Linked DNA regions of Astyanax mexicanus. The protein of the gene in region 1 binds, or shares a complex with, the protein of each later gene. Links are inferred from orthologs where the notes say so. Each region holds a gene or a part of one and is shown in the gene's direction. Other genes may lie near its edges.

What was found.
Region 2: tmem67 (region 1) and tctn1 share a complex: the UniProt entries of both Homo sapiens proteins name them as parts of the tectonic-like complex. The link is inferred for Astyanax mexicanus from reciprocal best matches to the Homo sapiens genes TMEM67 and TCTN1.
Region 3: tmem67 (region 1) and b9d2 share a complex: the UniProt entries of both Homo sapiens proteins name them as parts of the tectonic-like complex. The link is inferred for Astyanax mexicanus from reciprocal best matches to the Homo sapiens genes TMEM67 and B9D2.
Region 4: tmem67 (region 1) and tmem216 share a complex: the UniProt entries of both Homo sapiens proteins name them as parts of the tectonic-like complex. The link is inferred for Astyanax mexicanus from reciprocal best matches to the Homo sapiens genes TMEM67 and TMEM216.

Annotation. Positions count from the first base shown.
Region 1 is NC_064408.1:110,661,439-110,668,396, forward strand, and holds the start of tmem67 (meckelin), read left to right. Parts: upstream 1-3,939; 5' UTR 3,940-3,963; coding exon 3,964-4,159; intron 4,160-5,829; coding exon 5,830-5,918; intron 5,919-6,011; coding exon 6,012-6,102; intron 6,103-6,958. Other genes in the region: rbm12ba (RNA binding motif protein 12Ba), read right to left, coding at 1-980. UniProt on the Homo sapiens protein: Required for ciliary structure and function. Part of the tectonic-like complex which is required for tissue-specific ciliogenesis and may regulate ciliary membrane composition.
Region 2 is NC_064427.1:20,757,790-20,764,955, forward strand, and holds the start of tctn1 (tectonic-1), read left to right. Parts: upstream 1-4,160; 5' UTR 4,161-4,206; coding exon 4,207-4,531; intron 4,532-5,463; coding exon 5,464-5,581; intron 5,582-6,400; coding exon 6,401-6,534; intron 6,535-7,166. Other genes in the region: pptc7b (protein phosphatase PTC7 homolog), read right to left, coding at 2,620-2,821. UniProt on the Homo sapiens protein: Component of the tectonic-like complex, a complex localized at the transition zone of primary cilia and acting as a barrier that prevents diffusion of transmembrane proteins between the cilia and plasma membranes.
Region 3 is NC_064424.1:5,646,543-5,654,556, forward strand, and holds the start of b9d2 (B9 domain-containing protein 2), read left to right. Parts: upstream 1-5,007; 5' UTR 5,008-5,239; intron 5,240-7,253; 5' UTR 7,254-7,259; coding exon 7,260-7,347; intron 7,348-7,486; coding exon 7,487-7,612; intron 7,613-8,014. Other genes in the region: diablob (diablo, IAP-binding mitochondrial protein b), read right to left, coding at 1-110, 1,171-1,300, 3,607-3,644. UniProt on the Homo sapiens protein: Component of the tectonic-like complex, a complex localized at the transition zone of primary cilia and acting as a barrier that prevents diffusion of transmembrane proteins between the cilia and plasma membranes.
Region 4 is NC_064417.1:38,790,570-38,797,946, forward strand, and holds tmem216 (transmembrane protein 216), read left to right. Parts: upstream 1-4,375; 5' UTR 4,376-4,594; coding exon 4,595-4,619; intron 4,620-5,781; coding exon 5,782-5,795; intron 5,796-5,912; coding exon 5,913-6,006; intron 6,007-6,096; coding exon 6,097-6,189; intron 6,190-6,601; coding exon 6,602-6,803; intron 6,804-6,984; coding exon 6,985-7,000; 3' UTR 7,001-7,284; downstream 7,285-7,377. Other genes in the region: uncharacterized protein matr3l1.1, read left to right, coding at 1-181, 349-469, 567-586, 915-1,037, 1,494-1,622, 1,702-1,824, 1,910-2,040, 2,160-2,460 and 3 more. UniProt on the Homo sapiens protein: Part of the tectonic-like complex which is required for tissue-specific ciliogenesis and may regulate ciliary membrane composition.

The DNA of each region.
Region 1 (6,958 bases):
AGGCCCTCTTCAGCTTGTTTCAAAGTAGCCACCTTTATTAGGCAGCACTGGTCGCGGCCTAGGAAGACATTTGGTATGAAATCCAGCACAGAGAGGCCTTGGAGGAAAGTGCGGACATCTTGTAGGGTCACGTTGTTGGGAAGCCCATAAAGACGAAGATATCCAGGCTCGTTGCAGTTGGTCTTGGCCTTACCTCTCTCAGGTGCTGCTGCTGTTGCTTCTTTTTCTTCTTCAATATGCACTTTTCTCACTGGCTGTGGAATGCTTTCCTGCAGTTTGTAGCTGTGGTTGTAGTTTTTCTTTTTATTGTTGTTGTACGTATGATGGTCTGTTCTTTGATTTGTATGGTTTTTAGAATGGTATGGCTCAGGTAAAGCAGGTAATGGGTGAGAACTGACTGGCAGAGACTGGGCTTGGCTTTCTTGGTTGTTGTTGCTGCTGCTGCTACTGTTGTTGATAATGATGTTGTTGTTATGGTTTGACTGTAATCCTTGAATAGCAGCCACTAGGCCCAGTAGTAGAGCTGTGCCCAAGTCTGTTGGTGACTTTGATGGCTGCGGTTCTGGTGCTGGCCTTGGATCCAATGCCTTCTTTTCCAACTCCAGCTTTCTTCTTTTATACTCTGCTTTCTTCTTCTCCTCCGCCTCTTTCTCCATTTTTTCCTTCTTCCTCTCTGCATCAGACTTCTTGTTTTCCACTCCTGAGCTTCTTTGCTTTTTTAAGCGTAACTCAATTTTATGTTTCAAGTCAGCTATGCTGCTAACCTCAAGGGTTACCGATGATCCCTTGAGAATCTCCCCAGAGCGCTCCATGGCCAGCTGTCCATCTTCCTCTGTGGTAAAAATAATAAAAGCCTCTCCTCTCTTGCCACCAATGATGTGAACTCCACCCTCAAGAATGTGTAGGCCGTGGAAGAAGGCGCGAATGTCCTCAGAGCCTGCATCGGCACTGAGGCCCAGCAAACGCCGCACTATCACCATGATGGCGGGAAACTGCCTCGTCGAACACGTGACACTGCTGAGAGATACAAAACACAAAAGAATACACAGCTTGAGGAGAATTTCAACCCAGAAACCGCATCGGGCGCAGTTTAATCCGCCACACAGCGCGGTACAGCCCCGTGTAGCTGAACCGCAGCCCCCACGAGCCTCCTGCCCCCCTACTTTGTTCCGCAGCAGAAGAAGAACCAGCAGCTCTGAAACACAGAAACAGGAAAAACGGTTCACTGCCAGCTCCTCCACACCCCACTCACCTCTCAGTTCTCCTGAAAAAACGGACACTACTCTTAAACCGCGCTCCAAACACCCGCGTTTATTCACTTCACAAGCTTCACAAGCCTCACAGCGAGCTCAGCCTCAACCTAACGCCTCGTGCTTCAGACAGAGGCAGCGCGCTCTCTCCACACAACTTTTAAAGGGGCGGAGCGGCAGGAAGTGTGCACAGCCAATAGGCGGGGAGGAGGCTTTGCAGGGGGCGGGGCGAACAGTGTCTGGAGAGCCAATGGAACTGTGAATAAACTTTACGAACTTTTAAAGAAACAGAGTTAATATTACTGTGTGAATAATACTAATACTACTACTACTAATAATAATAATATCATATTTCTTAAAATGTAGTTTATTTTCTATTTTATTATGCGCTTTTCGTTTTGTAAATTACTGTATATTTAGTATATTTTTAAGTTTATTCTGCATAATTAGGATATTTTCTATTTTATTCTGTATATTTATTTTCGTGTATTACTGTATATTTAGTATATTTTCTATTCTGTATATTTACTATTGTATATCACTCTATATTTAGTATATGCATTTTTAGTTTATTCTGTATATTTATTTTCGTATATTACTGTATATTTAGTATATTTTTTATTCGGTATATTTACTATTGTATATCACTGTATATTTAGTATATGCATTTTTAGTTTATTTTGTATATTTATTTTCGTATATTACTGTATATTTAGTATATTTTCTATTCTGTATATTCACTATTGTATATCCCTGTATATTTAGTATATGCATTTTTAGTTTATTCTGTATATTTGATATATTTTCTATTTTAGATAGATGCTTTATTGATCCCAGAGCGAAATTCAGTACACATCCAATAGCAGATATACAGTACTCAGAAGCTACAAAAGAAGGATAAGCTATAATAATACAGATAATAATACAACAAGTAGAGTCTTATTTAGTTTGTGTGTAATGATGGAGGTAGTGCAGTTAAAAACAGTAAAACAACAATGAAAACCAGTTGATGTGAAAACTGATGTCAGCCATACAAACAGTGCAAGAACGCAGATGTGTTATACCCAGATTAAATTTAGCAGTGCAAATTTGTAGAGATGTAAACAGTGGGCAATAAATAAACTATTAGTACAGAAAAGGGATAAAACTATAAAAAAATAATATAACAGGGCATATCAGAAGGTGTGTTCACAGAGATGGGGATATGTTGATTGTATTCTGTACTATGCATGTTTGTCCCTTCTAGCCTTTAGCCCAGATGGGTTCATGTGTCCAGCTGAACTATTTCTGAGAATTCTATACATGTTGGAATGTCACATGTGGTTTCAGGTAAACAACGTACCGCTTCTCAAAAGGTCATTTCTATATATATGGTGAAGCTGTAAATAGGGTGGTTGGAATTCTTTAGGTATGCAGAGTACCATATAAGTGACTGTGAAAGAGTATATAAGCTGTTCAAAACACAAGACTGGGAGAGAGAGAGAGAACTGGGACACCGAGAATTGACAAGCTCTCTCCCACACTTTGCTTCTGATTGAAACAAAATATTTTGTTCCGATTAAGAAGGCAGTGTGCACTGAGTATTATTTCAAGAAAGACAACCGTCCAAGAACACCCAAAGAGAAGTCCTGGAAGGACAAGAAGACATAACAATGTCCATTGGAATGACCATAGTGGCCAGAATGAAAAAGTGTCACAGAGTTTTTAGTTTGCTGTACTTAGAGTCTTATGGCCTGGAGGGAAAAAGAGGGAGTATATTCTGTTTATTGAGTCCTGCATAGTCAAGTCAAGTAGTTTTATTGTCAGAACAGTATATGTACAGGACATACAGTGAATTGAAATTGCGTTACTGTCCTACCAAAAGTTACAGCAAAAAAATAAATAAAAAATAAATGCAACGCAATAGTTTATTTTACTATTTAGGGATGGTTTGTGGTATAAAAATACAGTTAATATCAAATATTAAAAAAAAATACAATGAATGAAAAAAAAAATGCATATTTCAGTTCATTAGGTTTCATTTATATATTAAGGACTAAACAGAGATTGAGGACAGAAAATAGCATCCTTATATTTTTCCATCACTGGAACATACAGCACTGGAAAAAATATAACAGACCACTTTACTTTTTGAATCAGTTTCTTTGATTTTGCTATTTATAGGTAAATGTTTGAGTAAAATGAACATTGTTGTTTTATTCTCTAAACTACGGACAACATTTATCACAAATTCCAAATAAAAGTATTGTCATTTAGAGCTTAGAGCTTTTTTGGCAAAAAAAAAAAAAAAAAAAAAATGAAATGGCTGAAATAAAAAAAAAGATGCAGAGCTTTCAGACCTCAAATAATGCAAAAAAAAAAACAAGTTCATGTTCATAAAGTTTTAAGAGTTCAGAAATCAATATTTGGAGTAAAAACCCTTGTTTTAATGCATCTTGGCATGTTCTCCTCCACCAGTCTTACACACTGCTTTTGGATAACTTTATGCCTTTACTCCTGGTGCAAAAATTCAAGCAGTTCAGCTTGGTTTGATGGCTTGTGATCATCCATATTTCTCTTAATTATATTCCAGAGGTTTTTAATTTGGTAAAATCAAAGAAACTCATAATTTTTAAGTGCTCTCTTATCTCTTTCCAGAGCTGTATAACTGAACTAACTGGGAGAGGAAAGGAGTGTTTATCGCCGGAAGGGGCGGGGCTTTTTGTTCTGCACCATGGCGACGGGGACGCTACAATCACCGCTTATTTTCCTCTGCTTTTTCCTCATATTATTGCAGTTTAACCCGTTTTTCTGCGAGCAGTTCTCTATATCTTTCTCTCAGCCGGCGGACTGCGGTCCCGGGGGGTATTTCGATATATCCAGTTTATCCTGCGCGAAGTGTGGAGCGAATCAAATCAGCGGGAAATCAGGTAGAGCTAACCCAGCTAACGCTAACTAAATAACAGCAGCAGCAGCAGGAGCTAGCGGGGCTAACTGCGGGCTAACTGTGGCTAGGTAGGGAACAGGGCTTTTAATTTAGATAATAAAACAGATTCAGGGTATATATCTGTCTGATACAGCTTCTGTTCACTGGTTTACTGTTGTGTTGGGGCTGTATAGCACTACCACCACCATGGCGTTGTTAGATAGTTAGCTAACTAGCATAGCTAACTATTTAACCTAGTTACCTAGATTAACGTTAGTGAAGTTAACCCTCTATGGCCAAACTAAACCTTACAAGTAGGGGTGGGTGGTATGGCCCTAAAATAATACCACAACAATATTTCATGGTATTTTGACGATAACCGTACTGTTGGCTATATGACAAAACACTGAATAAAAAAATAAAGCATACACTACTACAAAATTAAATTACATTTTATTATTGCATATAATATGATATGGCACACCCCTAAAACTTTTTAGCAGATTTGTAACAGAAGTCAATGATCCAGAATGTCATGATACTAATAACGCACTCCATATATCTCCATATATCCAGGATTAAAGTTAAATAAATTATACTGGACAGATATAATCTGTCTCTAGTAGATAATATATAACAATTATATTATTATAATATTGTTGGACTGGAACTCTTTACCACACCTGAGTCCTGCGTGTTCGTTGTATGGAGAATGAAGACTCTCAAGATCAAAAGTGATGTTCCAACGCTCACAAGTTTATTGACAAGTGCCAGGAGAATTTACACTCAGAAAGCGATCAGCATACCCCAGTGAAATTCTCGGCCCCGCTTTGATCTGACCCCTGTTTTATATGAAACTGCAAATTCTGCATCGTAATGTGGACGTGCTTCCAGAACACGTTGCACAGAGTCTGCATTTTATATTGTCATCATCTCCTTGGCCAGGTCCAATCTGGCATCCGGCGATAAAATCATCTGAAGGAGCGAACTTCTGCTTTTTAAGCGCTGAAGAGCAACTGGTGCATTAACATTACTGTAAATGCACCAGAATTAGCCTAAAGGCTATTTTTCATCCGTTGTCCCTGGACAGATCTTGAAATTGTCCACCTAAAAAACAACATGAAGATTACAATGAACAATGCAAATATAAAAGAGCAATAAAACAGATATAACACAGTCTATAAGTTTGCTAAAATACAGCTGTAGCTGAAAAGACAGCTGTTTGAGAACCACTGCTTTATGGCATAGTGTTGCCTCAGGCAACAAACCAAATCTTTTGTTATTACACCATATCATGCCTTATTACATTCCTTCGGAACCATGGAGCAACATGGAACAACAATACAATAGTCAGTTTGTGGCTGTTTGGTGGGTGGGGGGGTCAATTCCGTCTTTGTGTGTTGAGGAGTCTGACTGCCTGGTGGATGAAGCTGTTGCAGAGTCTGGTAGTGGAGGCATGGATATTCCATTGTCTTCTGCCGGACGGCATCAGAGCGAAGAGTGAGGGATGGGTGGGGTCTTCTACAATGCTGGTGGCTTTGTGGATGCAGCCTGTGGTGTAGATGTCAGTGATGGAGGGCTGTCCTCCATCTGCTGTAGGGTCTTGCGATCTGAGCTGTTGCTAACTTTAACTAAGCTTATTATCATTAACCTGAGGTTTGTGCTCTGACACAGGGTTGAGCTGCGTGTGTCAGACAGGTTTCAAGGTGCTAACCAGCAATGGAAGATCAGTCACCTGTCAAAAGTGCCCTGACTCAAAACCGGTATTAATCTGTCCGCTCTGTGTCTTTAAATATATTACCATGTTTATAATATGCATTTAGACAGTTAAACAATAACCCGGCTGTATTTTGCAGGGTGTTAGTCAGGATGGTTACGAGTGTATCCAGTGTCCAAGCGCTGTGGGGGAGGATGGTAAATGTCAGTGTCCTGAAGGAAAAATCCTGGGTGAGTATTTTAGATCGAACAGACGTATTAACAATACATGATGGCTACTTGTGGACATCTTGATCCCATGTTAAATCTGTTCTATGATGTCAACATTAAAATACCTTATACTGTGGTTTAATTTCAAATCCTTATTATATCTTGCTTTTTAAACTTAAAGCTGAACATTTTTAATACCCCAGAAGACATACAAACAAAGCACACTGATGTTTGATATACATTATTTGGTATTTTTGTTGTGTTTGATCAAATAATCTAATTAAGCGGATATTTGGTGCATCCCTAAAATATGCATAGCCATGCAACATGTCATGACTAGAAAAAAAGGGTTTACTTGCACATTAAAATCACATAATGGACCCTTTATTTTTTACCAGTGTAGAACAGACAGGACACTGAATACACACAGCGTGAAAGAATGTCAGTGAGGAGCACATTTGAATAGACAGAGGAAAAGGTTCGGCCTTGGAGGACTCTTTTATTTTGTTTCAGGCTTGTCTTTATCTTTATCAGAGCAGCCTTCAATATTGTATTCAGTGGTGTTGTATTCTGTGGTGCAAGTGCATAATGTGTTTTTATAAATATCTGCACTATAACACTATAATCTGTGTTTTTGACAGCAAGGGTTTCCTGCTTGTACAACTCCTATATCCTAAATGCATGCAGTCTCTGTCTGATGCTGTGATTTAAACATTAGCTGTGGTACAAGGTCACAGTGTAGCCATTATGTGGCAAAAGAAACATATGAATCCATTATGAGTAAAAGCATGCTTAAAACAGTAAAATAATATTTATGTTATATCAGCACTTCCTAAAGTCTATTAGTCTTGCAATATTGTGAAAACTCTAAATATAA
Region 2 (7,166 bases), on another chromosome or scaffold:
TCCCAGCATCCTTTAATGGATTAGGTACTGGCTATTTTAAGTCAGCTCCTGTTTCAGTCCTTAGCTTTAATAATTGCTTTGTTGGCAGAGCTCCCTTTGGCATCCTCCAGGCACAATCAAACGTGCATTATTCTTAGCCCCAGAACTAAAAAAAAGTGTGTTCACTGTTACCCCAGCATTGTAACATAAGGCAAATTAAATAAATTATATTTAATTACTTTAAGTCATGGTACAATGTGTTTGATACAAAACCTGTATCTTAATAATCAGATAATCAGACAGACAGACAAAATAGACTGGGGAAGCTGAACTGGGGGGTGGGGGGCCTTAAACAGCCGGCTTTTTCGTTCCCCCACATGGCTCCATAACAAAGGAAACTTGAGCCGGAAGCTACACAAAAGCCCCTTTTGTTCCTGACTGCATTTAAAGAAGCGCCAAGATAAAAGTCACCATTTTAGTTCTTATTCTGCTAAGTATTTGTACATATGTGCTTGTAAAATAATAATACGTATATGGAAAATATTTGCACATTAAAGATAATACTATAATACACATTATTTTTACCAGAAGTGGCAGAATAACTCCTATTCAGATACTTTGTCATGCATAATCCAATGATTTATGTTAAAACAATTGCTGCACTTTGTTCAATTAAACAGATTTTTACATTCTTTCTTATAAAATGTACAGTACAATCAGTGCTCTTTAATCAGTGATGACTCGATAAACATATTGTTGATACGATAAAAGAATGTATTGAGCGACCCTTTATTTCACTAATTGTATGCATGCATATGTGCTTGGTTTAATAAACATGTGGTTGTTTATTAATATAATAAAGGGGGGTTATTTATGCTTAATTTTGATCTTTGTTTTGTACTAATTCACATTAAAACATCCCTTTAAACAATCTAAGTTTGGACAGGATATGGCTGTATAATGGATAATGCGTCTACAATCTTAATAAAACGTCTGTACATATAATTATGTTTAAAGATGGTTTATGCTTTCCCTTGTTTTGTATTAATTCACCATAATACATAATTTTAAACTATATAAGTGGGATATGATGGGTCTGAATAAGATAAAAGGTGTCTATAATCTTTATAAAAAGGTCTGAACATGGAAATAAGCTCTTTTAAAGGCTCATTTCTTAATTCACGAGCAGCAGCTGGTGGATGTGCGCATGTGCGAGCCTGCAACGTGGTTGAGCTGTAATATGGCTGCCTCCATGCTCAACCATTCTGACCTTTACGATACAAAACACTGCAAAGCTCTTGATAAAAAGCAACCACGCGCTTCTACAAAGTTCGACTCGAAGATTGATAACGATATCTGAGCATGCATTTAGTTTTTAATCCGGTTTTAATAGTGGATACTCCTGTGCAATCCGGGTTATTAGCTGTGTTTACAAATGAAGTGAGTAGATATGATGCTGGTATAGCAGCTTAGATCATTAAAACTAATAAATACGCTGTTTAGCTGAGTGTTTCACTTTATTAAACTACCTAAATCTTAAAATTATCAAGCGTGTTCACGTTATTGTGGCCGCAGGGGCTCGTGCTGGATCTCTAGGTATCTAGGTGAAAGGTCACCTCCTACACAGGCTGCTCACTACACCCTATACACTGCACCCTGCACCCTCAGCCATCTGCTTGGGGATAGTTTTACCAAGATCACTAGAAACCTAGTTATCTGGCTACATCTTTTGTGAATAAACTTAAAAGGTGTATTAAATGGTTAAAACAAAAAAAAAGTAAGGTTATTTCAGGTGAGGGTGATTCCTGCACATACACAAACACACTGAAAACACACTGTGTGTGTATGTGTGTGTGCTAGAGTGTGTGTGTCTGTTTGTGGTGCAATGCAATGCTGGTGGCACTTTAACCCTGAAGGTCAATCATCATTCTGTGAATGACCTTAGCTATAATGGCTGTATCTGAATGCACTATAATACTATGCAAATATGCTTAATGTAGCTTAAATACCAGCTGTTTACAACTAAATATGACTCATTTTAATCAGTAAATGAGAGAGAAGTAAGGCCAGAGTTAGCTAACCTACTTCAAACAGTTACTGTTGTTTTTAGACAGAACAAACTATGTGTAGCTGTTAACCAACAACATTCTCTTAGAAAGCTCTAACATACAGTGTGTGCATTTACTCATTATGTTTTTGTGTTGTGTGTATATATATTTATATATATGTGCTAGTACTACGCACCCAATTTTTTGTTTGTTTGGTTTGTTTCCACTCATCTATACTATACTATTGTTGGGTATTGTTGATGTCACGTGACAATTAAGCTAGTTAATATGATTAAATTTTTTATTTTATTTTATTTAAGCTCGTCTAATTAACACACAGTAGAAGAAATTAAGGTAGCTAGACTACATATATGGTTCTAATCAGCAGACGATGAGAGAACTACCTGACAAAGCTACTGCTGAACCTGCCAATAAACAGCGTAGCTAATTGATTGACATTTGAGTTAATTAATGAATTAGGCTCACAGGTGAGTTAATTGATTGACAGGTAACAAACTAATAAAAGCTGTAGGTGTATAGGAACCTCTGGCAAGTTAAGTAGTTAAGTAAGCAATGAACGCAGTCCACCCACCCAGCACGTCCGCGGACCGGTGGCGGGCGATGAAGCACGCGTCGTCCCCGTAGCACATCCCTTTCTTCAGGATGCCCTTCCTAAAGTCCTTGCCGAAGCCGCAACTGGCCGTGATCAGGCTATAGTCGCGGCCGTCGGTCTGAGACAGTCCACCCAGCACGGCCCTGGCCACGATCCTCCCGTAGGAAAGCACGGACAACATCCCCGCTGTCTCCGCGACGCGCCGCTAACCGAGAGCCCGCGTCCACCGGCAGCCAGCCGCCGGCATAGAGCTCCGGAGCACAAGGTGGAGAGGCAGTCTGTGGAGGAGTCTGCTGCCTGGCTGACCCTCACTCAGCCCGGCTGAGAGACTCACAGCAGCCGCCTGGGAGCCTGGAGGTCTGTCCCCGTATCGTGTTACACCGACTCCGGCTCAGAGAAGTGGAGTCCACCCGCGCCCGTCCTCTACGGTGCTGTCCCGCTTCTGTACTGGTTCTGTCCGGTTCTCCGTTGGGTTTTAAACACTAGCCGGTCTCGCGGTGCTCCCCCACAACCGACATCTTCACGCGCCGCACTCTCGCGCAAACAAAACACCGCCGCGTTCAGGAGCAAAAGTACACGGGACATACGGGTACTCGCGTCACGTGGCTCCAGGCCATCAGAGCGTTTGGGGGCGTGTCAATAAAAAAAAACAAAAACAAAGAAACAATAAAACAATAGTAATATTATTTTAAATAATTTTTCTTTGAAGTTTGTAATATATTACTTTATTACTTTAATTTATAAATGAATACTGGTCATACAGATGTATTAGAGTCTTGCTCTTTGTTTCCTAGGGCCGTCCTGATGAGAGCCAGTTTCATCCTTCTAACGTTTTTGATGGTCGATTTTCGACTGCACTGGAGGATAAAACTTTTTCAGAATTTCTCGAAATTTTTCGGATTGACCGAACTCCATATTATGCAAAGAAATAGTCAAAAAGGGCTATTCACTGTGTACCAACTCTACCTCTTTACAACTGATGCTCTTAAACACATTAAGAGAGCAAGAAGTTCAAGTAATTAACATTTACAAGGCACAGCTGTTAACTGTAAGCCATCAAAAATGTTTGATGTTTACTATTAATTATTAGATTTTTTATTTGCTGATAAAAAGCAAATACACAGAATGTTAAAATTGTGAATATCTAGTGCTCTTTTACAATTACTTTAAAATTAATTATTATTTAATTATAACCATTATTTGTGTCCAGGTTTAGGAGTATTGAGAAAGGGGATGGGGTACTTTTATACAAAACAAAAGTCTCTTATTGTAACTCTATATTTAATAATATATAAATAAGATTTTACATGTTAACGCATAGGTAACGTATAGGTAAGTGTATATGTATACGTTTTTCTGTAATAGATCTCCTTTTTTCCTGGGTTTTAAGGTTTGATTTTTTTGTAATAATAATATGTGTAGCATTTAGCCAAATGAAAATAGTTTTTCATTTTTGTCCATTATATGGAATAAAACATAAAAATTGGCTTTATTACAAAATAAAAGTCCTATTATTCATTTATTTCAGCTTCCTGGAGACGGGCTGCGCTGTGTCGGTTGTTAAGCATGGCTGCGCTGCTCCGGGTATTAATTTTGGCCGGTTTGTTTTGCGGGTTCTGGGCGAAATCTGGCGGATTTAACAGCTCAGTTTTAGACCAGAACCGGACCAGGTTCGGCTGGGATGAGTCTGATAATGTAACGGAGGAGACCGGGGAAGAAAACTACACTTTAGCTCCGGTATCGATGCCCGCAGCGTCTCCAGTCGAGCCCAGCACCGCCTTTCCCGAAACGGAGATTCCAGAACCCACAGCCGAGCCGGACCTAGCCCGGGCCGGCACCGCAGCCCTGCCCTTACCGCTGTCTGGATCCCTACCCGCACCCGTTACCCGAGGTACACACGTATGGGGGAATAAATAGAAGAAAACTAGCTTTTTAGCTAACAGAGAACGTTATGAGAAAGTTTAGCAACGTTTTGAAAAGGTTTCAGGAAAGTTAAGTTAGCCTGTAACGTTTCAGATGTAATATTCCAGGAACGTTCTAATAACGTGTAACATAATAAGTAAATGGTTTGCACCACAACGTGTTAGAACATTTAGCAACGTTTATAAATGTTGAAACGTTGAAAAATAGCATTCCTAAAATATGACTGTAACGTTCAAAAAACGTTATATTAACCAGCATTTTCAGCTGGTTTATCTAGCTAACTAACTGTATTAAACCTTGAGATCTACATACGCAGCCGTAGCCAACTCCGTTCTAACGTCTAAACAACGTTAATGTTGTAAACATAAGCCGACTTCTTTTTAAACAAAGTGATTATAGCAGCTAATTTACGGATCCAAATCCGTAATCAAGACATTGTTCAAGTTTCAGTCCCTGATCTACAACTCCATCCCCAAACGTGTGTGTGTTTCCCAAAGAGTGTAAAAGAGTTTAGAGCTGGGGTGTTAACAACAGTTAGCACCTGTTCGAGCAGGAAAACCTCAGACATTAAAGGAACTGGTCTGATAAAGTGTTAAAGTGAGGGTGTCAGAGCTGTAAATCACCTAAATGTGTGAACTGGTGAACAGTACTGAAGAACAGTAACAGGTGTAAATCAGGGTACTACATAATGACTTAAACAGAATCTGTCTTAAAGGGAAAATCCACCAGTTTTCCTTCTTCTTCGCACAATTCAGTGTTTAAGATAAGTACATAAATAGTTGTAGAAGAATAGCCCATCTTGAATTGGATTTGAAAGAAATGTATAATATATAATTTAGGTTTATTTAACAATGAAGCTTTTCTTTTTAATCTTAATCTGCTGTTGTTGGTTTGGTGCAGTATCAGATCTGTGCCCGTGTGATGTTCAGAGTGATCAGTGTGAGGTGAACTGCTGCTGTGACCCGGACTGCTCTCAGGAACGGCCCCTGTTCACCCGCTGCTCCGTCCAGAAAGTCACGTACGTTAATTTTCTGCTTTGTAGATTAATACTTAAGTTGTCCAAACTATGAGTAAAACTTAATGGAATTATTTAGTAACCCAAAAAGTGTTAAACAATCCAGAATATGTTTTATATTTTACATTCTTCAAAGTAGCACCTCTTGCTTAGATGGCAATTTTGCACATCTCTGCTGGATTTTCTCAGTCAGCTTTATGAGGTAGAGTCACCTAGAATTCAGGCTTTCAGTTAACAGCTGTGCTGAGTTAAGAGTCAAGAGTTAATTACTTGAATTCCTTGCCTCTTAATGTGTTTGAGAGCATCAGATGTAAAGTTGTGAAGAGGTAGAGTTACAGGTATACAGTGAGTAATGTTCTAATCCCTACTATGAGAAGCAAGAACTAAACTAAGTAAAGAAACCAATGAAAAAGGTCATTCAACTGATCTTAAGGAAAAAAAGTATTCCAAGGGCAGTTACTGCAAAGACAGTCAAGTGTTATGATGATTAAATTGACTTTCATCAGGGCCGCCCCAGAAAAGGAAGAGTAAGAGTTTCCTCTGTTGTACAGGATAAGTTCATCAGAGTTACCAGCCTCAGAAACCACAAGTTAACAAACAGCTCCCCAGATAAGAGAATCTAAATGCTTCTTCACAGAGTATTTTGGTTTGTTTAACACTTTTAAGTTACTACATGATTCCTTATGTGTTCCTTCATAGTCTGGATCACTTGAAAAAATAAATATATAAATAAAAACATAGAATGAGAAGATGTGTCCACACTTTTGACTGGTACTGAATAACTGATTATATTTATATGAACTTTGATGTGTGTTTGGTCAGTGGAGACCCCAGACTGTGCACTCAGGATGCAGCTCTGTACTCCCTCCGCACCACAGCAGAGGGGTTTTCAGCAGTGCAGACGTCCGTCCAGCGCCAGATCAACCCTGATGTTTTCTGTATACAGACCGCTAACTGTAAGTACATCTCAACCAACCAGAGACACGGTGTATGGATAACCAGTTACAGAATAGATAGTTGTACTATATACAAAACATGTCAGTTATTGCTTGGTTTAATAGTTTTAAATATATCTTTATTTGATTGATTTGCTAATAAGTCATATGAATTCAAGATCCGTATTAAAAATGATTCTATATTATACAATATGTTACATTACATTGCATTTAGTGGATGCTTTCATCCGAAATGACTTACAAATAATGATGTACATTTAGCAGTAGAAGACATAGAAGTCCAAGGCAAAAAAAAAAAAAAACTTTAGCGGCTTTTGATTAATTCTTGTAGCAACAAAATATAACAATGCCAATTAATTTTAATTATGATTAATAATTTAATAATTTTATAAGTTATTTTGCAACTGATAAAAAAAAAAAGAGCTGGTAACTCTGATTAACTTTTCCTGTACAACAGAGGTCCTGATGAGTGCCAGTTTCACCATTATAACGTTTTTGATGGTCTTTGGGTGACTGCACTTGAGGATTATTCAATGTTCGAACTGAAATGTTTTGGATTGGCTGACGTTCATTATTTATTTATTTATTTATTTTTCTTTACTTAGTTAAGAAGTTCTTGCCATAATATGGCA
Region 3 (8,014 bases), on another chromosome or scaffold:
GCTGTGAGAGAATCCAGTAAGGCCAGTGTAGTTTGGGAAAGGTAGGTGTTGGCACTGTTGGTCACCAGAGACGATGCTCTACGGATCAGGGTTTCATGGGTCATGTTATCCTGTACATGCACACAATACAGACGCCAAAATATTAGACTGTCTTATTCAAAGCAATACATTTCTGATCACAATTACAGGTGGAAAAAAAATCATATTATTTACACTTTCCATATATTTTAGATTAGGGGTGTCCAAACTACGGCCCGCTGGCCATTTGTGGCCTGTTTCCTTTTTTGGAGCGGCCCGCGAGGAATTTTTTTATAATGTGAGATTCTAAGTTTGAACGCTAGGTGTCAGAAACTGACCAAAGAGTCTAAAAGCGGAGAGGGTGCGCATTTCTAGCACAGAAAAACGGGCCAAAGAGTCTAAAAGCGAAGAGAGTGCGCAGTTCTAGCGCAGAAAAACGGACCAAAGAGTCTAAAAGCGGAGAGGTTGCGCATTTCTAGCGCAGAAAAACGGGGCAAGGAGTCTAAAAGCGGAGAGAGTGCGCATTTCTAGCACAGAAAAACGGGCCAAAGAGTCTAAAAGCGGAGAGAGTGCGCATTTCTAGCGCAGAAAAACAGGGCAAAGAGTCTAAAAGCGGAGAGAGTGCGCATTTCTAGCGCAGAAAAACGGGTCAAAGAGTCTAAAAGTTAATATTAAGAGACATTATGAAATTAAACATCAATTTGAAAAATCTTAGTTTACACAACACTGTCAAAGATAAAGATAGTAAGTCAAGTAAAATGGTGTGTAAATGAAAGTAATCAGGAAAAAAGTATTATTTAAAGTGGTATATTTCATTATTTGTTTTATTATAGAGTCTGTGGCCCCTGACTTCAAATATATTTCTCCTTCTGGACCCCAACAAAAAAAATTGGACACCCCTGTTTTAGATACATGGCATTAAATATATATTTATAATTGATATATTAACCACCCAAGTGCAGCCAGTAAAAGCCTACTGAAAGATGAAGACGTGTGTTTTACTTTCAATCCTTTAGCTTTTAAAACTAAAAAAAAATTAGTTTTTTTGTTATAATGGTAATTTTAGTTTATAACAACTAAAATATCATTATCTACCACTTCTTGTAATTCAAAGAGTATTATCAAAACTTCAATCATGAGGCTTCATCAAACCTGCAAAAAGGGAACAGCACACAGGCCTCCAGAGACGCCTAAAGTAATGCAGTTCTTTCTAATTAAAGTCGGCAGTCTGCCGAGTCTGAGGCAGGCTCTGCTGGTGGTGCTCAGCAGGCTCGCTGCGACACTGAAAACAAAAGAGAAAACAGTCTTTACTTTCAGTTCAAACACTGCTTAGATAAGCATAAAGACACGAGTGTACCCTCATTTAATGCTGATGATGGAAAAACAACCTTTATTTAACGATGCCTAATAGGCATTGGGTTGTGTTGAAATACTGACTTTGAATCAAAATTATTTTAAATTATTTTATTATTTTAAATAGTTGGGGCTCTATTACACTCAGAATCAACACAGGACAGGCAATAGTAATAGAATACGAGTAAGATATACATATTTAAAGTGAGTAAAGTTTAATATAAACAATACATGTACAACTATAACGTGGAATACATTTTAAATCAACATAAAATAGATGTGCACAAATAAATACATTCTGACATGTGAAATGAACATTGTTTCAATGCATTAGCATTAGAGTAGACTACAGTAGAGTAGAGTAGAGGAGCTTTTAAAGTAAAATACAGTCCAGTAGAGTACAGTAGAGCAGCCAGTCGGGTATAGTACAGTACAGCAGAGAGGCCAGTAGAGCAGAGTAGAATGGAGTAGAGCACAGTATATTAGAGTAGAGTGATCAGTAGAGTAGAGCAGCCAGTAGTAGAGTACAGTGCAGTAAATTAGAGTACCGTAGAGCAGCCAGTACAGTACAGTTGAGTACCCAGTAGAGTACAGAAGAGTACAGTAGATTTGCGTACCCAGTACAGTACCTAGTAAAGTACAGTAGCCAGCAGAGTACAGTACAGTACAGTAAAATATAGTACAGTTCAGTAGCCAGCAGTAAAGGTGGGCAATATGGCCCTAAAATAATATCACAATATTTCATGGTATTTTCGCGATAACGATACTCTTGGAGATATGACAAAACATTCAATTAAAAATATATATATTTAAAGAATACATCTCTGCAACAAAATGAAAAATAGTATTATTGCATACGATATGATATGATATGCACACCTCTAACTGAGATAAAAATACAAAAAACACAAGAATTTCATCAGATTTGTAACCTAATAGAGTACAATAGACAGCAGATTAGAGTAGAGTACAGTAGAATATAGTAGAGTACAGTAGAGTACAGAAGATTACAATAGAGTAGAGTACCTAGTAGAGTACAATAGACAGCAGATTAGAGTACAGTAGAGTATAGTAGAGTACAGTAGAGTACAGAAGATTACAATAGAGTAGAGTACCTAGTAGAGTACAATAGACAGCAGATTAGAGTACAGTAGAGTATAGTAGAGTACAGTAGAGTACAGAAGATTACAATAGAGTAGAGTACCTAGTAGAGTACAATAGACAGCAGATTAGAGTACAGTAGAGTATAGTAGAGTACAGTAGAGTACAGAAGATTACAATAGAGTAGAGTACCTAGTAGAGTACAATAGACAGCAGATTAGAGTACAGTAGAGTATAGTAGAGTACAGAAGATTACAATAGAGTAGAGTACAATAGACAGCAGATTAGAGTACAGTAGAGTATAGTAGAGTACAGAAGATTACAATAGAGTAGAGTACTTAGTAGAGTACAATAGACAGCAGATTAGAGTAGAGTACAGTAGAGTATAGTATAGTACAGAAGATTACAATAGAGTAGAGTACTTAGTAGAGTACAATAGACAGCAGATTAGAGTAGAGTACAGTAGAATATAGTAGAGTACAGTAGAGTATAGAAGATTACAATAGAGTAGAGTACTTAGTAGAGTACAATAGACAGCAGATTAGAGTACAGTAGAGTATAGTAGAGTACAGTAGAGTACAGAAGATTACAATAGAGTAGAGTACTTAGTAGAGTACAATAGACAGCAGATTAGAGTAGAATACAGTAGAGTATAGTAGAGTACAGAAGCCAGTAGGAGTCACACAATACAGCACAGTAATACAAAACAATAGCAATACAACTATAGATAGTTCCTTCAACTCTAGATACATACATCTCAGTTACAATGAGGTATGATTAAACTACTAATTAATTACTAATTATTAACAATTAAAAATATTCACAATAAATAATAATGTCAACTATAGATAAAATATCTCATTTGAAAAACAAACAGTGCAGGAAATCCCTATCTACAAATATAAAGATATTACTGAAGAAGATTAGTATATAAAATCTGTATAAATAAGCTTTAATGTAGGTTATCTAAATAGGAAGAAGGAATATTCTGCCCTACAGCGCACAGCCCGGAGCCCAGCCAGTAATAACTGAGCCGTATCTGTTATCTGTAATGTGTATACTCTTAAAGCACACTGTGATCTCACTGATTTTAAAAAGCTGAACTGAATAAAAAGAGAAAATATAAAAACCTACCAGCCCACAGAGAGCACCTTCCTCCTGAACAGCGCCATGTTTCCCCTTAACACAACACAACACCACACAGCTCAACTGCGCCCCCAGCGGCCCCTGGACACACAGAACATAACATACAAACACACTAAAGAAAAGTTCTATTTTTTATTTGTCTATTTGAATTTGATGATTATAAGTCGTTCATCTATATGACTGTGTAATATAACGAATTAAATAGCAATGTGGAGGACAAAACATATGTTAAAACAATAATTTGTTCTTTTCGGTATTTATAGTTTTTTTCTTGATATTGAAAAAACAAATTTAACATACTGATTGAACAATTTAATTACAACTTATTCACAAAAAGTATTTTATTAAAGTTAAAATATTTTTTTTTAGTATGGGAATTTTTTTAATTTATTTTTTATTGCAGGCTTAGCAAAATATACAAACATGAAGTTTTAATACATTATTCTCATCATATATACACATTTGTTTGCGATTTTACATGAAGTGAACATTACAGAAAGTCTTTTTTACTTATTTTTTATTTATATATAGAAAGAATAATAAAAAAAAAATAATTAAAAATAATTAAAAATAAACCAGGAAGACTTTGTGTATTGTGTATTGTTTTAAAAAAAAGCACGGGTCATACTTTTTTTCTGGCTTATTTCTTATTAATTTAGTTTATTTATTTTTTTTATTCATTTTTCTTTTTATATTCTTTATATTTTATTTCTTTTGGTTTGTTTCTGCCTGATAATTTCTTGTAACTTTCTTATATTAATATGTCAGATTGCTGGTACCATTATTTTTTGTCCTTGAATGTTTAAATTGTATTTGTTATTAATATAGCTCTAATACAAAAAAATAATAATAAAACAATGGGTCCTGAACAGCAGGCGACAGCAAAGAGCTTTAGAGCTGCATCTCTCCTGCCACAGATTCAAACAGAGAGAGCGAGACAGAGCGAGACGCCCCACTATTATACTTCTATCAGTAAATACGTCTAACCACTAGGGGGAGCCCGCGAGTGAATCCTCAATCAATGGGGTGAATGGAGCTAAACGGCTAAAAACTCAAATTAAACAGAGTGCAAAACTACTTATCCGGGATATTAATTTGATTTTAGAAAGTATATTGAAGAATATACTAAACAAGAAAATAAACTTTACCTGTGTTTTTTCTATTGTTATAAAATAAACGTGTTTTCCTATTGAAAGGCGCTAGCATTGCTGCTAATATGTGCTGATTGGTTGGTTAGCTGAGACTTGGTCCCAAACTAGCTGCTGGTCTTAAATAGGAAAAACCTATTGATTTTCATTTTAACATGAAGTCACATTAGGGGCTCCGTATAGCAATCCAAGTAAAAGTAGATTAGCAGATATAAACTACCCTAAATAGATAAGTATTAATTTTAAAGGCCCTCTGGTGTCTGAGTAAAGACCCGCAGCAGATTGTCAGTAGTACAGTGGGAGCTCTGTGTATTAGAGAGTCTGCGCGTTACTAAGGGAAGGAGCGGCTGGAGACGGGCTGTGTGGAGCAGTGTAAACACTGAGCTCAGGATTAGCGCTCTGATCCACATAAACTTACCTACAGCACCGTGTTCCAGCAGATCTCTGCTGAATGATCCGCCTGTGGTGAGCTGGTACTATACTCCTCACTGTATGTGGTAATACAGATAGCTTAGATATTATTATAGACAGATAGGCTGTGTTTTATAAGCTAGGCTAGGCTAGTTAAGCTAGTTTTCTGACTAAGCTACCTGTTTAGCTTAGCCTTAGCCTAGCCAAAGTGAGCTAACGCTAAGAATCACCTGTAACAACAAAGATACAGAGCTTTCAGACCTTAAATACTGCAAAGAAAACATTCATATTTATAAAGTTTTAAGAGTTCAGAAATCAATATTTGGTGGAATAACCAAAAAACCTAGTTTTAAATCACAGTTTTCTCATGCATCTTCCCATGTTCTCCTCCACCAGTCTTACACACTGCTTTTGGATAACTTTATGCCTTTACTCCTTGGTGTTCAGCTTGGTTTGATGGTTTGTGATCATCCATCTTCCTCTTGATTATATTCCAGAGGTTTTCAATTTGGCAAAATCAAAGAAACTCATCATTTTAAGTGGTCTTTTATTTTGTTTCTCCAAAATATCCTAAACTAATTAAGCATACTTTAAAAAATATTAAATATTAAAATCTGCTCGTTCATGTTATCGAAAAGCAATGCAGTTTTCCCAGTGACATACAGGGATTAAGCCTAGTCTTGGACTACACAGCATTGTAAATGGAGATTTTCATTTCAAAGAAAAATATAGTTTATCGGATCCTAATCCTAATTTCTTTTCAGAAAGGGATAATGTTGAGATCTGCCAAAATAATATAATAACATATGGTGTCCATAATATAATTATCCTGACAAAACTAGCTCCATATTCCATATAGTAAATCAGACTTTATTCATATTTCTTTATTAAATTAGTATTTTTATTACATTTATGTAGTTTAAACAATTTTTGACTAACATGACCATTTAGTGAGTTATCTAGCTCAGGAGTTCTCAACTGGTCTGAGCCCGGGACCCACATTTTCTCGTGGTCATTAAGTTGTGACCCACTTTTATAGAATACAAACCAAACAAATTAATGTTTTAACATACCCATTTAAACATACATATGCATGCAAAGTGAGTTTAAGAGCATTTTCTAAAAAAGAAGAAACTGAGGAGGAACATGACAACTACATTTTTAAAAGTTACTGCAATAAAATTAAATATCAAAACTGCACAAAACAAAAAATAAGCCCACAAAATAAGATATTTAATTTCTTTGCATATCTCTGCATTCTGAGTACATAAGTAAGAAACTCTCTCTTTTTCCTCAATATAAAGGACAGTACAACATCAGATCAGCATGAATTATTTTTTCATTTAATTTATATTTTAAATGTATTTCTTTTTTATAAAGCTGTCTGTAACCCTCCCAGAACGTGTCCGTGTCCTGACCCACCAGTTGAGAATCGCAATAAACACCACTATGACTGAATCATGAGGTCACTGATTTAGATTTAAATTCCTCTAAACCTAAAATATAGGATGGAAAAGAAATGCTCTTTTCTGAAATCTGAGTGAGATGTAATCGCATGCTTCTCTTTAGAACAGCAGTTGTGGGTTTAATGGATATATTGGCTCTCTTCATATATATGTAATCACTTCCATATGTACAGAAAGAGTAGCTGACTTATTAGATTACACTGTTGCTTTCTTCTGTGGATCTGCTGTCAAGATATTCTACATCAGATATATAATTAAATTCAGAAACAGTTTTGTAAGGTTTATGTTTTATTTATTTATTTTATTTATTCATTTTATTTATTTATTTTTATTGCATTTTCGCTGTTGTGAATTGTGGGGTATATTATGTTGATATTAGTTAGCTGATTGATTAGTACTATCATTTTAATTACTGATTTCCAACCTACTGTTTAGTGTCTACTGTAAACTGGTTCACACTACAGACCTATTTTATACTATAATAAGAAAAATGTCTTTTTGTATGTATTTTTTTATTATTATTTTTGCCTTTCTTTCTTTCTTTTCCTTTATTCATCTTTTTTATATAAAAAAAATCTTCAGATGTAACTCATTTTCCAATCTTTTGCAGAGTCTTATGGCAGAGCTGCACATAATCGGACAGATTGTCGGGGCCAGCGGTTTCCCTCAGAGTAGTTTGTTCTGCAAGTGGGGTGTTCACACAGGTATCCAATCGTCTCTAATCTTATCTCACATCCCTCCAATCTTTTTAGTTTTGGTTGCAAGGTGTTTGCTTTTGTTGTTCATGAATCTAAACCTGGATTAGTTTCATTCTCATTGTGTCTCTCTCAATCTGCCCATCAGGAGGAGCATGGAGGCTCCTCTCTGGACTGAAGGAAGGACAGACGCAAGTGGACATGCCCCAGATAGGTGACACAGCTTACTGGAGTCATCCTATTGACTTGCATTACACCACTAAGGGCCTTCAAGGTATGAGTGAAATTTCAGTCAGGTATTCTTTTTTTCTAATGTTTTATTTTATTTAATAGTTAAAGATATTCATTATAGAAACACACAAACCCACATAGACACGAAAAAATGATGATTAAAAAAAGAAATCTCAACTCCACAGATCATTGATTATTAGCATATCAACTGTAAATATAAATAAACAAAAGGAGACATGCTATTGAGCCTGAAATTGGTCCCAATTGGTACCAATATCTAGTACTCTAGAAATATGTGGTCTGAAGTTTAGTTTAAAATGGACTCTAATAAGCTTTCGCTGCAGTTGTGTAAGCTATCCTCTCCCTGTGCCATGCGTAGGGTTGTGTGATTGGTTCACTCTCTAATGTAACTTCTTCCACTTATCATGTTACGTCCCTTTCTATC
Region 4 (7,377 bases), on another chromosome or scaffold:
TGACACACCCAATGCTGAGAGCACAGAGATGCCCGAAAAGGCAGAAGATCTGACAGAGGAGCCAGCTGAAACCGAAGCAGATCAAAACCCCACAGAGGAGCACAAAGACACAGATGACCAGGATGATGTGGAGCAGGCTGAGGCTGATCATGAGAATGCTCCAGAGAATTTGAGTGAACTGGTAAGAGAACTTAAAAATAGATTCAAGTTGTACAGTGAATCAGTGTCAGCCTGTGGGTATGCTAGAGAAATGGACAAAATAGAGATAATCAGTTTAGAGAAATCATAAATAATGTTTGATCATTTGTTTTAAATGTTCTTGTGATCTCTCAATATGTATTTTATTAGGAAGGACTTGGAGAATCTGACTTCCCTGATAATATGGATGAGTTTGTGACTCTGGATGAGCTAGCAGAGGAGGAAGATGCTGAAATGCACGAGTCTAAATCCAGGGATAAAAGCTCCTCAGGTACTGTCTAAATTCTGTGATTGTGCTTGTGTTTCTGATTGTAACATTAGAAGGCATGGTAATAGATGTATGCAACTCTTTCTTCTTCTTTTTTTAGGGAGATCAAAGCAGAGCCGTGTAAGTATTCGCTTTTTTCATGAAATTCCTTGAATATATTACTTGACATATATGTGTGATTACAAAAAGTAGTGCTGCTTTTCTGGAAAAATAAATAAATAAGTACATTCTTCCATGAATGTGCACCTAGATAATATATGTAAGTGGTAATCTTTACTGAATGTATAATTCAGTGGCTGATATACCTGTGTAAGTGTATGCTCAACAACTGCACTGTTTTGTAAGTGGACAATGATTTACTGTAATTTGTATGATTTTGAGATTTTTAAAGTTTATGCCTGTGACAATTTGTATTACTTTACTTTTCCTTTCCTAACTTTATTTACAGGAACTAAAAGTCGTCAATGTGGTTGGATTTAGGCGTGGCTATAATTATCTTGATGAGATTCTGTCTTTGGCCAAGCCTTTTGGGAAAGTGGTGCGACATCTGATCCTGAATGTGAGGCCTGAGGTAGGTTTTCTTAAACACACATTCTTTAATCTGATTTTAAATTTTGACAGTCAGAAGTGCGACATGCTGGTCAGGAGCTTTTTGAAGTGGTTCCTACATGTATCTGAACCTAGGAGTTTTTTGTGCCAGAATAGTTGGATTGTGCAGTTTTCTAGTATGGTGTAATAATGGGGGAAAAAAAACATTTTAAAAAGTGTCAGTTATGTCTTTATTACTGAGAATGTTTTGTAGCAAATGTCCAGACTGGCTGCTACCTAGGTGCAGTTGTGGTGAGCAAAAAAAAAAACACTTCAGAATGCAGTAGTACAGCAGTAGGTAATGGCCAAGGAAATAAAACTGAAGCATGTGCATCCCTGCGTGGCCATGATTTACCCATCATCTTCTAACTATATCCAACATATTAATGCACAATGTCGCAACTACTATTTTAACATACACTTTTGTTTTGTTTTTAAGGCCTTTCTTGAGCTTGCTAGTGAACAGGAAGCCAGAGCAATGGTTCGTTTCTACAATGGAAATGTTACACCATCTGTGTGTGGAAAAGCAGTGAAAATCTATCATTCTCATGTCTACCCAACCATCCAGGTAAAAAGGTTTTGTTAAACACATTTTTTTCTCCTTATTTTGACAGTTTTAATGTCTAACACAACCTATTGTCTTCTAGATTGGCAAAGTAATTTATGTTGGACACATTCCGGCCTTTAAAACATCAGATGCATCCCTACTGAAAATTGCAGAGCCGTTTGGCAAAATCAAACGCTACGTTTTAATAAGGGGACGTGGCGAGGTACTGGCTTGTGTGTGATGTATAATAACTTACAGAGTGGGTTATCTATGAAGTGGGTTATATTAGACTTTGTGTTTGATTCTAGTGTTTAATTGAGATGGAGAGGATTGAGGATGCAGAGAGATTTGTTGAGGCGGCCAAAGAAAATCCACCAACGTTTCAAGGCAAACCACTAGTTGTCAATATTAGCAGGAAATACACACAACTCAAACATGGGTTAGTGCTATTTTTTATTTTGTGATCTGTTTAATGCACAATTTTACATTGGTGTTTTGACTCTCTGAGTAGGTGAATTCTGGTGGTGTTTTGTTCTAATACACTTTCTACCCTGGCAGAGGCAGACCTCCAGCCCCAGAAACAGAAGACAAACGACCATCCAAGAGAGATCGCTCTGACGAAGAAACAGCAGCCGAGGTCAGCAAAACTAACAGCAGTAAGGAAGAAGAGCCACCAACCAAGAAGGTCAAAGAGGGAACATCCTGTACAGATAATGTGGAGGGTGTACCAGCAGAGGAGAAGCAGCAGGAAAATGAAAATCAAGCTGAAACTAGCGAGAGTGAAGCTGAAACGAAAATAAAGAACACAGAGGAAAATAGCAGTGATGCAGCTGAAGCTCAGAACATGGAGAGCACATCGGTTAGTTAATTTAGTTTGCTTCGTTTAAAGTTTTCTTTCAGATTACACTTTCAAAAATCTGTGGACACTGCTCTTAATTTATCTATAAACGTGCGCACACAAAGCTTGCCAAGAGATGTGTTATAGAGAAGTATCGCCAATAATAGGGACCGAAGCACCAGTACCACTTTTCCTTTTCCAATACTGCAACGACACCAGATTTTCAAGTATCTGAAGATACCAACCCTGAATTAACTTTATGAAAGGTGCCTATAAATCCTGCTATTTATAGCATTCTATTTGCTCTGATTAGAAATAAGATATATAAATATACACCCCCTCTGAACATCACACACCTGAAATAAGTCTGCACAAACAAGTGTATATCAACTTTCTCCCAGGTGAGATTGTTAAATGGGAAACTTTTTAATAAAGGTTACTTCAGCCAAAAGCAGAAATATCAGCTATTAGGTGATACGTTGACTTCAACCAAGTTTTAGTAATTCAGGCTTTACCTCTCAGTGCTGTTCAAATAAAGCACAAGTGTTCATATGTTTAACATGTTCATAAGACGGGGTTTTTGTGGGGTGTCATTTAACGTGTGAATTCTGTGTTCTATGATAAATGCAACCAAGGTATGTATCTTTCTCTTCTTCATGTAAATAACCTTTTTGGATTTAACTTTTTATTTGGTTGTGCCCTGTTAAGCAGAATGACGATTCTGATGCTACTGTTGTGCCTTCCGGTGTACCTTCTAAGAATGAGGAAAACAGTGAAGGTCTTACTGTTCCTGTGCAGTCTGTGAAAAAAACTACCCTAGACAGTCTGGGGCCATATGAACCTGATGTCCCAGTGGGTAAGCCAACAGTGTTTTCGTTAAAGAACATTTTAATATATTAAATAGAGATTTAGGAAACAAATATGTATAATAATAAATGTATATATGAGGGTACATCACTTTTGGCCCTTTGATGTTCTTGTAGGTGCAGAGTTTGTGAAGATGGGATATTATTGCAGAGTCTGCTTCCTTTTTTACTCAAATGAAGACACCGCTAAGAAGGTCCACTGCAGCAGCCAAGCACACTACAACAAACTTAAGGTGCTTTATTACAGCTAAAATAGCTTTAATTTATCATATGTTGCATGCAAGAATAAAAAATCTGACTTTTTTTTTTTTGTTTTCTTTTTTTTTTAGAAACACTTGGAAAAGGAGAAGGCAAAAGCACAAAGAGAAAATATGACCAGAGAGTAACACTGGGAAGAACTGAAGCTATAGGAGATGATGTCCTTGGTACTATACAGTATTTGATAGTGCATGAGCTGTTAGTGCAGTATACTGATATAATGTATATTATACTGGTATAATGTATTTTCAGTAAGCTGATTCATTTGCCATATTTTTTTCCCCTTTTTTTTATCTTACTAGATCCTAGAACACATTCATCTGCTGTTACTTTCTGTCTTGCCATATTAAAAGTATTCCTTCAACTATTTGCTGGTTGTGACTGATTCAGCACTACAGACATACAATAAAACTTTCATTATGGTCTGTCCCTTAAACTGTTTCGTGTCTGGTTTGTAAAATGTATGTTAATAGTAAAATGTTAAAAGATAATAGTATCACATTCCAGTTCTTTGCTCTTTATTGGGTGAGTGCAGCGTCTAATTACTTTAATGAATAATAGAAATTAGAATACTTTTAGGCAAACAATTGGCCTGGTTTACTGATTAGTGATTGATGTCTTTGCAAGAGGAAATTTTAAAAATAAGGGTTTACTGAGTGTTCTTTCTGCTTGCATGCACCAGCGTGCTGAAATAACCCTCCTACATTAATATATTTAAGATAATTGGATTGAATATAGATATCTTATAATTGTATTAGTTATATTTAGAAGATTTTTGAATTTGGGTAATTGAACACTGACGCAATAAATGAAATCACATTACGAAACATGCTGGTAATTGCATTAAAAGATGTTTCTCAGTTTTACCCCAATTTTATTTTTTCTTTTAAACTGAAAGCGTGTCCTCGTGCGTGTGTGCGCTCTCGCTCTTACGCTGTTTCTGATTGGATGGACTTAAGTCAGACGCTAGCAGGTCCCCGAACTCTGATTGGACAACTGTCCAGTTACCGCCCTAGGATGACGCCGTCTCCATGGTATCCAAAATGGCGACCCACGGTAAGACGTATCCAAGCTGATAGTAACTAGTTAAAGCAGAGAGGCTAAAATTACCGGATAAATATATTTAATATATAATAAACAGGTTTAGGACGAGTAAACTCATTGTTCCGGTCATTTTACAGTCAGATAAACGGCGTTTCTCCCGCTGTTCTGCTGTTATTTTCCGAGAAGACGCTGTTCTTTCTCTCTGTTGGGACTAAAACCTCAAACCCGAGTTTGTGTGAGGATGATGTTGATAATTCTGCTCTCTGAGATAAATCAGGCCTGGAGTGGAAAAGTTTTAGACGGTTTTACAGTTCCTGTTCTAGCAGAAACAGCGAAGCATATCCGAATGATTCTTCTTATCGTTCAGTGAAGCTCAGATAATTACTACACTCCAGTCCATTACACTAAACAAAGCGAAACAAACAAAATATAGCTACACATATATTAGGCAAAATAATCTAAAAGGGATAGAAATATTAATATATCTAAATACACTAAAAGTTATATGGCAGCAGCTGTAATTGCACAGTAGGAATGTGCTGACCCTATATCATATCATACAAAATATTGGGATATGTAAGATTAAAACAGTCCATATTGTGCGCATTTAAGCTTACTAGCTACTGTAATTGTTTGCTCTAAGACATTATTTTTATGTTTTGTTGCTACGTTATTTATTTTGTTAAAAAAATCAACAGTCTTGGTAAATTCCTGTTGTTTGCAAAATAGATGAAGTAGTATGTTTTCGAAATTTTTATATATATATATATATATATATATATATATATATATATATATTATATGAAATTTTATTCATATAATTATCTTGTTTCTCTCATTTTCTTTTTCATTACAATTTAGATTTGTTTATATACTGTTGTATTTGTCTTGCTGTGTTTATTGTTTATTACTGTTTGTAGTACCTAGAGCCTGTTTCTATGTATAAAAAGGTATATAAAAGTAAAAAATTAAGTTATTAGTATAAGTATTATTATTATCATCAAATATATAGAATCAGGCCAATGACAATGCTGCAGTATAGTTCCATCCTCTGCTAATAGTTTGTGGTGCTTAATTTGAGATTAATTTATTATCAGTATTCTGTAAAACTGATTTTTATTTAAATTTTTGTAATGCACTAGATTTTTACATTTTGTTATTTTTTCTCTTCCAGGAAAGCACCCCATTGTATCCTTTTAGTGCAATATTATCTCTTTCCTGCTTGTCTTTCTTTACTCCTGTGTTGTCTCAGGGAAATGAGTAATATAACAGTCTATTATTAGTCTTCTTAACAGAAGATCTCAGTTGTCCTCCACACCCCTGCAGGTCCTCTTTTATTTAAACAGCTGGTATTTTGCTGTGTTCTTCATCGCTGAGATCTTAATGTTTATTTATAAAGGTAAAGTATCACAAGAAGTATTCTGCTCTGATATGTGTATTTTATATTAACAATAATACCATCAAACATACTGTTTTTAATTGTTTTTAGGAGTGTTGCTCCCATACCCGCAATCAAATCTCATACTTGACATTGTGCTGCTTCTTCTCTACCTTGGCCTTGAAACCCTCAGACTGTTTTACGGTCAGTGTACGACGCAGAATTTTATTTCTATATTTTAACACACACTAATAAAAAAAAACTGCTGTAGACTCAGCATGCTGGTATGTCTCAGGCAGGCAGTTAAATTATTAAAGATGAAAAGTGCTTCCCTATAAGATTGGTCTCAGAGGCTACTTTTGGGTAGTGTACTTCTCACAGAGAGATCATTAACTGATAGACTTGCCTCTGATGCACTTAAGTGTGCACATTATTTCTATTTCTATGTACTGTTTTTACTACTAAAAGTATGCTTTCACTCTAATATCTAATTTTACTACATATATTTACATTACATTCACACAAATTTTTCTTGTTTTGTTTTTGTCTGTGAGTGTATTTCAGACCTGTAGCATTTTTAATGACTGTAGGACTTCTGATGTTTCTGTTTTTGTAGGCTGGAAGGGAAACCTGTGTGAGCGCACTCTGACGCTATCCATTAGCATTGGTGTCCTGGTGCCTTGTACTGTGCTGAGTGTCTATTATCTGCTACTACAGACTTTTGTTCTTCGCCTCGAGTTTATCCTCAACGCTGTATTGCTGTGCTTCTATGGTCTGGAGCTGATTCTGGGTCTTATAACCATCTCAGCTTTTGCCAGGTATAACTATGATTTTGTATGACATGAACTGTGCTTTAGCAATGACTTAATTATACTGAACTGTTTCAAATTCAGCCCTTAAATAATTGTTTTTGGCTAATATTTTTACAGCACTTAGACCATGTGTAATGCTAATTCTCATAATTTTTTTAAATGATTATCTTTATGTTTTTTCTTTCAGGGCTGTTGTTTACTAGACCTGCAGGTGCTGATGAAGAACAGTTTTGTGCGTTCCTTGGGTGTTAGCGGATTTTCGGTGTGCCAATGTATCATCACTACATACAGTACATACAGAGTACAGCACTTGGATCTGCACGACTCTGCACACTGCTCCTTAACTGCTGTTAAATATTGGTTATATAATGACCTTTGACTTTATGACTTTAAGTCGTTGCATTTATTTAGTGTACACTTTCTTTTTTGTACAGATAAATGTGGTTTGTATGGTGTCTTTTTGTAATAAAATAAAACTTTTTTTTTTTTGTATTTTTTTCTTGTAAGCTTCTTTTGTTGCCAACTTTGTTTGAATTACTGGAGCTACTCCTTAAATTTAAGTCCCAGATTTACACTGCCC